Macaca fascicularis: one gene and its partner. The protein of the gene in region 1 binds, or shares a complex with, the protein of each later gene. Links are inferred from orthologs where the notes say so. Each region holds a gene or a part of one and is shown in the gene's direction. Other genes may lie near its edges.

Region 1 (3,674 bases):
ATGACAAGATTGTTATTGAAAAGCAGGGCAAAGGCACAGCTGATGAAACAAGCAAGAGGTGCCTGAGGCAGGAGAGCTGGTGGGAAAGGGTGTCCCTTGGAGGGCTCGGTGGGGTCTAGTGAACCACAAGTTTCTTCTGGATTTCATTCCCACTGTAATTGCAAACTCTGTTCCTGACGGTAAGCCTGGCTGTTCGCTCTTGACATTGGTGCTAAGAGAGATGAGGGGACTGTCCTCAGAGCAAGCCCCTTTTTTTGGTCCCTAGGACCAAGGCCTCTTCTGTACATACTGATAGCCTCCTCTGCCCAGTGTGCCTGAAACACCCAGGTCCCAAGCAGCAGGGCCCCCAAGAGATGAGTTTACAAGGTTTCCCTCTCATCCCAAGCTCTGGGGCAGACCTCTGAGTCAGAAAGCTGCATTCTAGCAGCTTTTCATAGTCTCTGGTGCCAGCCTGGGGTGGAGTGGTCTCCCAGCGTGACACCTGTCATTCTCCTGTACCAATGAGACCTCCTCTTCTGCCCCTGCTTGCAGTGGGAAGCAATCAATTGCCATTGATGACTGCACCTTCCACCAGTGTGTACGACTCAGCAAGTTTGACTCTGAACGCAGCATCAGCTTTATCCCACCAGATGGAGAGTTTGAGCTTATGAGGTGCCATTGGGGTGTGAAGAGGCAGCCAGTGCTGCTGGCAGATTGGGGAGAGGAAGTGGGTCAGCTCTTTGGTAACCTTGCTTCCCATCCCTTAAGGTATCGCACAACCAAGGACATCATCCTTCCCTTCCGGGTGATCCCGCTAGTGCGAGAAGTGGGACGCACCAAACTGGAGGTCAAGGTGGTCATCAAGTCCAACTTTAAACCCTCACTCCTGGCTCAGAAGATTGAGGTGAGGACAGGGGGCTTGGGGAGGAGGAAGAACTTGTCCCTAGGAATAAAGGCAGCTGATGTCACAGCTTGACAGAGCTCCCTGACAGGTGTGTCACTTCTAGGTGAGGATCCCAACCCCACTGAACACAAGTGGGGTGCAGGTGATCTGCATGAAGGGGAAGGCCAAGTACAAGGCCAGCGAGAATGCCATCGTGTGGAAGTGAGTCTTTCCTTCATTAGGCCACAGCAGGTTCAAGATCCCAGTGTACCCTCTTGTTTTCACCTTTGATCCTTCTGAATGAGGGGTGGGGGAGTGTGCCTCTTTGCTTTTCTAGGAGCCTCTGCTTGTACTGTCAGCCTTTATGCCTCCATGTGAGTATGTACACGCCTGCATTTGGGTTCATGCACGTGCTTATTTTTTAAGATGCTTTGGCATTTCCCTGCTTGCCTTTGTAATGTATCTGTGAAGCTGACAAAGCAAAGATAGCATGCCCAAGTGTCTAGGCAGAAACTGCATCCTGTTGTCCTAAAGAAGTAGACCCAAGCTTCCATAGCAAGTAGTTAGCAGGGTCCTGACCACTTCTTGTTGTGGCACCTCCTGCAAGCTCCTGGGCGTGCTCCTTAAAATGGGCAACTGCCCTTGAAACTTCTCCAAGCTACAATGGGCTGCCTGTTGTCCCTGTGTTCCTAGGATCAAGCGCATGGCAGGCATGAAGGAATCGCAGATCAGCGCAGAGATTGAGCTTCTGCCTACCAACGACAAGAAGAAATGGGCTCGACCCCCCATTTCCATGAACTTTGAGGTATGGCAGAGGAGGGGCCTAGAGTCATGCCAGGGTATGCTGGAAAAGCTCTTAGAGATCATTCCGATAAACCGCTGCACCTTAGAGGTGAGGAAACTGAGGCCTAGAAAGAAGAACTGGCTTTAATTCATAGATCCATTCTTCCCCTTTCAAGCCTCTTAGTAGAAGTTACTATTCATAGTGAGGCAAATCTTTCACTTCTCTTAGCTTGTCCTAACACAGTTCTTTCGAAAAACTTAGATTGTTTAAATGCCAGGTAAGACACAAAGTTTACTTACAGACAGGATAATGGACTGACTTTGCTTTGTGCATGTTAGACATAATTTTCTCCACCTTATTTTTAAGTTCATAATATTGAGCAGGATAAGTATGTTCTAAAGCAGTTCATTGGTTGCTGTCTCCTGCTGATGAAAGGAACTGATTCCGGGTGTCACTGGCAGGGCTTTCTTCTTCAGCCACCTCTTAGAGGGTCCCTCACCACCCCAGCTTCTTTAAGGACCCCAGCCATTCAAACACCTGTAGTAGAGATGAAGTAGAGCAGGGCAACGGGACTTCCCAGAGGAGAGCAGCTGTAAGAGGAAGGCCACATTTCTAACGAGCTGTCCTTGCCCAGGTGCCATTTGCGCCCTCTGGCCTCAAGGTGCGCTACTTGAAGGTATTTGAACCGAAGCTGAACTACAGCGACCATGATGTCATCAAATGGGTGCGCTACATTGGCCGCAGCGGCATTTATGAAACTCGCTGCTAGCTGCCACTAGGCAGCTAGCCCACCTCCCCACCCACCCTCTTCAACAGGTCCAGGTGCCGCTCCCTCTCCCACCACACATCAGTGTCTCCTCCCTCCTGCTTTGCTGCCTTCCCTTTGCACCAGCCCCTGAGTCTAGGTCTGGGCCAAGCACATTGCAAGTGGGACTGGTGGAGTAGCCCCTGGGCTCCCTGGACAGGGAAGTTCTGAGGCTCCTGCTCTCCCCTCCACCTGTCTGTCCTGGCCTAGTGCCAGGCTCTGAGTTCTGTGACCAAAGCCAGGTGGGTTCCCTTTCCTTCCCACGCCTGTGGCCGCACCTCTGGAGTGGGAGGGTCGGTTGCACCCCTCACCTCAGAGCTCTCCCAAAGGCCAGTAACGGATCCCCAGCCCTCAGTCCCTAGTCTGCTTTGGGATAGTGTGAGCTTCATTTTGTACACGTGTGACTTCGTCCAGTTATAAACCCAATAAACTCTGTAGAGTGGAGTTGCTGGCTAAGTGTTGATGTGGGAGCTACGTGGGGAGGGAACTGGTGTTGCTCTCCCCGCAGTTTTCTGTTCTGAATACTCTAAAAGCTCTTTCCTTGTCTTGTCCCAGTTAGGTGTCTCCTGGGCCATCCAAGCCCCTATCCTTGTGGGTTTTGGGCCCAGGTTTTCTGGCTCCTCTAAGAAAGCCTCAAGGGCAAGCAGCCTCAGCAGGCCCCAGTACCCTGGGGGTAGATCTTTCCCTAGCTCTTTTTTATTCCCCCTGGTCCTCGGACTCCTAGGCTCAAGAGATCTTTAGCCTAGGCAGCCTCTGGAGTAGCTGGGATTACAAGCACGCGCCACCACAGCACCCAGCTCTTTCTCTAATTCTTAGGCAGATGTTTTCTAATTAGATTAGGTATAGATTAAGTGAAGTTTACGTTTGGTCTTATAGCCATCCTAAGAAATTGACCTTTTAATTCCATCATTTACCCATGCTTCCCAAATCTTGCTGAGTGGGTGGTAGGAGGAAAGATTTGCAAGCAGAATAATACAATGGACTGGGTGCGGTGGCTCACACTGTAACCCCAGCGCTTTGGTAGCCAAGGTGGGTGGATCACCTGAGGTCAGGAATTCAAGACCAGCCTGACCAACATGGAGAAACCCTGTCTGTACTAAAATTACAAAATGAGTTGGGCATGGTGGTGCATGTCTGTAATCCCAGCTGTTCGGGAGGCTGAGGCAGGAGAATGGCTTGAACCCAGGAGGTGGAGGTTGCAGTGAGCCAAGATCGCGCCATTG
Region 2 (4,548 bases), on another chromosome or scaffold:
ATGGTATATTTTCCAGAAGAAATGGCCCATGGATTAAAAATTATTATGATGAGTCTGCAGTAATATAGAAACCAAGTAGTGGGAATCAGAAAATGAAAAGCACAGCCATTGACTGTGATTACAAACCAAAACTTTATACCAATTACCTGCTGGAATTTATGCTGCATGAAGGCAGGATATTTTGCTTGTCCTGTTCACTGGACAGTACCTGGCATATGGGATGTGCTTATTAATATTTTCTGAATGCATTAGGGAAACTAAATATAACATTCATCTATGAAAACATATCTGGGCCAGGCGCAGTGGCTCATGCCTGTAATCCCAAGCCCGAGGAGGGCAGATCATGGGAGGTCAGGAGCTGGAGACCAGCCTGGCCAACATGGTGAAAACCTGTCTCTACTGAAAATACAAAAATTAGCTGGGTGTGGTGGCGGGCGCTTGTAATCCCAGCTACTCAAGAGGCTGAGGCAAGAGAATTGCTTGAACCTGGGAGGTGGAGGTTGCAGTGAGCCGAGATGGTGCTACTGAACTCCAGCCTGGACAAGAGTAAAACTCGGTCTCCAAAAAAAAAAAAAAAGAAAGAAAGAAAAGGAAAGCATATCTGAAGGGAATGAACAAATATACATACGGAAAACTGTATTCATGGGGTAGAACGCTGGCTGTTTTCCCCACTTTTGCTATTTCTCAATTCTCCCCTAAAGTTGTGATAGCGTTTTCTCAGTGGAAAGGATGACCACAGAATAATCTCCCCTGGGCTGCAACTAAGGAAGTATCTGAATTGGAGTGAGAATGCGGCCAGGCTTCAAATCCAGGAGGGGCATTTTACAGGGCGTGTGGCTCTCACCCAGGGCTCACAGGACACCTGATACTTAGGCCGTTCCCCAAGAGGCTGAGCACAGTGCGGCCCCAGCTCCCCCAGTGTAGGAGCCTGCACTGGTGAACGATGGCTGCTCCGCACAGCCCCCAGGTCCTCTACGGAAGTCCCTGGCACCTATCTGGACCCCTAAGGGAGGTCGCTTGTTACCCCTCACTCGAACTCGGTCCCAAATGAGAAGCGGCCCCCATCTTCCCCGAAAGGGTCTCTTGTTCTCCCTGGCCCTCCTGCGAAGGTCATCACTCCCCAACTCGCCTTTTTTGATGTTTTTTGGTTCCTGGTTTTTTGAGGCAGGGTCTCGCTTCATCTCACAGACTGGGGTGCAGTGGCGCCATCACAGCTCACGGCAGCCTCGACCTCCCGGGATCAAGCGATCCTCTCACCTCAGCCTCCCGAGTACCTGGGACCACAGGCGAGCGCCACTACGCCCGGCTTCTTTGCTTTTGTGTTTTGTTTGTTTTGTTGTTTGTTTGTTTGATAGAGACGAGGTCTCGCTATGTTGTCCAGGCTGGTCTCTAACTCAAAGGATCCTCTCACCTCGGCCTCCGAAACTGCTGGGATGACAGGTGTGAGCCACCGCGCCCGGCCCCTCGCCAGCCTTTTGAAGGAGCCTTTCGTCCTCAAGGCCAAGGGCAAGGCCACCCCCTCCCCGCGAGTTCCATGCCCCCTAGAGGGTCACAGTTCCAGACGGGGAGGTGGCGCCCTCCCCTAGGCCCCGGGCCCCGACCGCCCGGTGCCGCCTCCTTCCGGGCCCTCCCCATGATGACGGCGCTGCTGGCAGGCCGGGCGGACTGGGCGGGGCTCCGAGCGGGGACTGGGACCCAGACGGGCTCGGGGACGGGGAGCAGGCGGTGTGGCCATGGCGGGCTGCTGCGCCGCGCTGGCGGCCTTCCTGTTCGAGTACGACACGCCGCGCATCGTGCTCATCCGCAGCCGCAAAGTGGGGCTCATGAACCGCGCCGTGCAGCTGCTCATCCTGGCCTACGTCATCGGGTGAGCGCGGCCGCGCGGGGCCGGGCGGGGGGCGCCGCGGGGGACGCGGCGGGGGCTACCCTCGGGTCCGCCCCGTGCGGCGGCTCATCCCGGCTTCGGTCACCTGGGCGAGTGCGGGGGCGGCGAGCCAAGGCGGTGACACCTTCCCTGGGCCCCAGCCGCCGCGCCGGGCCCCGGGGGCGGGAGGCTGCTTGCTGCTGTTTCAAAGCCATAGCCAGGGCCGGGCGCGGTGGCGCACGCCTGTAATCCCAGCACTTTGGGAGCCCGAGGCGGGACTATCGCCTGAGCCCAGGAGTTCGAAACCAGTTTGGGCAGCATCGTGGGACCCCGTCTCTGCAAAAAACTAAAAATCCGCCGGGCCTGGTGGCGCGCGCCTGGGGTCCCAGCTACTCAGGAGACTGAGGTGGGAGGATCGCTTGAGCCCAAGAGGCTGAGGCTGCAGTGAGCTATGATCACACCACTTAACTCGAGCCTGGGAGACAGTCCGAGACCCTGCTCTTTACAAAATAAATAAAGGCAAAGCCTGGCTAGGCCGTTACTCTCTCCTGTCTGACCCCCCAGAGTGCCCCTTGGCTGTAGGGGCTTCGCCCTGAACGTCTCAATCTTCGCTCTCCACTTCCCATCCTGCTGATTTGCCGACAAAACCAAAGCTTGGAATTTCCGCTTGGTTCCTTCTGGGTCGGTGGCTTCTGGTCATTTCTTTTGATCACTAGGCAGTATCACTATGTGGTAGTAGCGAGGTCAGACTTCAAGAGTAGTTAAAGTTTGCTTCCTTTGTTTTGTGGGATTGTGGGGCTTTTATGGTACCTGCCCTGGCCTAGTCATTCATTCCCCATGCTGCGCCCTTAGGCTAGAGATGCCCTGCCGCCCTCAGGCCTGGCTGAATGTGCCATTGTACTTGAAGGCACCTGTTTGTTTTTTTTGGTTTTTTTGTTTTGTTTTGTTTTTTGAGACGGAGTTTCTCTCGTCGCCCGGGCTGAAGTGCAATGACACGATCTCGGCTCACTGCAACCTCCGCCTCCCGGGTTCAAGCAATTCTGTCTCAGTCTCCCGAGTGGCAGGGATTACTGGTGCCCGCCACCACGCCCGGCCAATTTTTGTATTTTTTAGTAGAGACGGGGTTTCACCATGTTAGCCAGGCTGGTCCTGAACTGACCTCAGGTGATCCGCCCACCTCAGCCTCCCAAAGTGCTGGGATTAGAGGTGTGAGCCCCGCGCCCAGCTGGCACCTGTTACTATTGAATACAATCCAAGAGAGAAGATGAGAATTCCTTGCCACCTGGGGCCACTTTAAAGGCTTACCTGGGGTGTTCTTGTGTCTACAGCTGCTGGGCTGACACGTATTGCCTAGTGCAGTGGTCCCCAAACTGCACATTGGAACCATCTGAGAATCCTTGGCTCCCGTCCCCAGACCCTTTTTTTTTTTTTTTTAAAGATGGAGTCTCCCTCTGTCGCCCACGCTGGAGTGCAGTGGTGCAATCTAGACTCACTGCAACCTCCACCTCCCCGGTTCAAGCGATTCTCCTGCTTCAGCCTCCCGAGTAGCTAGGATTTACAGGCGCCCACCACCATGCCCGGCTAATTTTTGTATTTTTAGTAGAGATGGGGTTTTGCCATGTTGTCCAGGCTGTTCTCGAACTCCTGACCTCAGGTGATCCACCCGCCTCCGCCTCCCAGAGTGCTGGGATTACAGGCATGAGCCACCGCGCCCCGACGCCTACCCAGACCTTCTGATTTAATTGCTGTAGAGTATGATCAGGTGCCCAGGTGATTCTGATGTTCAGCAACGTTTGGGAACCAATGAACTGTGTTTCCCAAGTTTACCTGATCGTGGAAGACTCATGTGCGGAATTGTTTAAAAGCAACAAATCCCCCTCTTTGGGGTGAGGTTTGGAATCTTAACACTGCCCAAGGGAATTCCCATGACGGAGCAGGTTTGGCTTCCAATATCTGTCAGCAGCAGCAGTAGGTACAGACAGTATTCAAGAGGATGGCTTTCCAGGTGCAGACTCAACATCAGAACCACCTGGCCCACACCCAGATTTGGACTCATTGGCTCCCACCTGTAGTCCCAGTGCTTTGGAAGGCCAAGATGGGAGGATTGCTTGAGGCCAGGAGCTCAAGACCAGCCTGGACAACACTCCATCTCCAAAAGAAAAATAAAGGTTAAAATGGTAAATTTTACTGATGGAGTTGTGTAAAACAAAAAAAAAAATTTTTTTTTTTTGGCCGAGCGCAGTGGCTCATGCCTATAATCCCAGCATTTTAGGAGGCCGAGGCAGGTGAGGTCAGGAGTTTGAGACCAGCCTGACCAACATGGTGAAACCCCGTCTCTACTAAAAGTACAAAAAATTAGCCGGGCCTAATCAAAAAATTAGCTGAGGCCTGTAATCCCAGCTACTTGGGAGGCTGAGGCAGGAGAATCGCTTGAATCCAGGAGGTGGAGGTTGCAGTGAGCCGAGATTGCGCCACTGCACTCCAGCCTGAGCCACAAGAGCAAAACTCCATCTCAAAAATATATATGTATACGTATTATATATATACACACACACATATGTGTATATATACACACACATATATATATTTGAGACCCACTGCTAGCCAGTGAATTGAACTCACATCCCTGGTTGGACTTGAAGCATTTGGGGGCAGGAGCTCCCCTGCAGCTTTTTGCTTTTGGC

What was found.
Region 2: the proteins of AP2M1 (region 1) and P2RX4 are in contact, whole or in part, in a crystal structure (PDB 2BP5), measured with the Rattus norvegicus proteins. The link is inferred for Macaca fascicularis from reciprocal best matches to the Homo sapiens genes AP2M1 and P2RX4. Residues at the interface, in NP_446289.1 of Rattus norvegicus: Phe174, Leu175, Asp176, Lys203, Asn217, Leu316, Ala317, Gln318, Lys319, Glu391, Val392, Pro393, Lys400, Val401, Arg402, Tyr403, Leu404, Ile419, Lys420, Trp421, Val422, Arg423, Tyr424, Ile425; in NP_113782.2 of Rattus norvegicus: Val375, Glu376, Asp377, Tyr378, Glu379, Gln380, Gly381, Leu382, Ser383, Gly384.

What each region holds. Positions count from the first base shown.
Region 1 is NC_088376.1:96,100,459-96,104,132, forward strand, and holds the end of AP2M1 (AP-2 complex subunit mu), read left to right. Parts: coding exon 1-58; intron 59-531; coding exon 532-651; intron 652-747; coding exon 748-883; intron 884-986; coding exon 987-1,084; intron 1,085-1,555; coding exon 1,556-1,667; intron 1,668-2,280; coding exon 2,281-2,415; 3' UTR 2,416-2,895; downstream 2,896-3,674.
Region 2 is NC_088385.1:128,288,956-128,293,503, forward strand, and holds the start of P2RX4 (P2X purinoceptor 4), read left to right. Parts: upstream 1-1,733; coding exon 1,734-1,867; intron 1,868-4,548. UniProt on the Homo sapiens protein: ATP-gated nonselective transmembrane cation channel permeable to potassium, sodium and calcium. CTP, but not GTP or UTP, functions as a weak affinity agonist for P2RX4.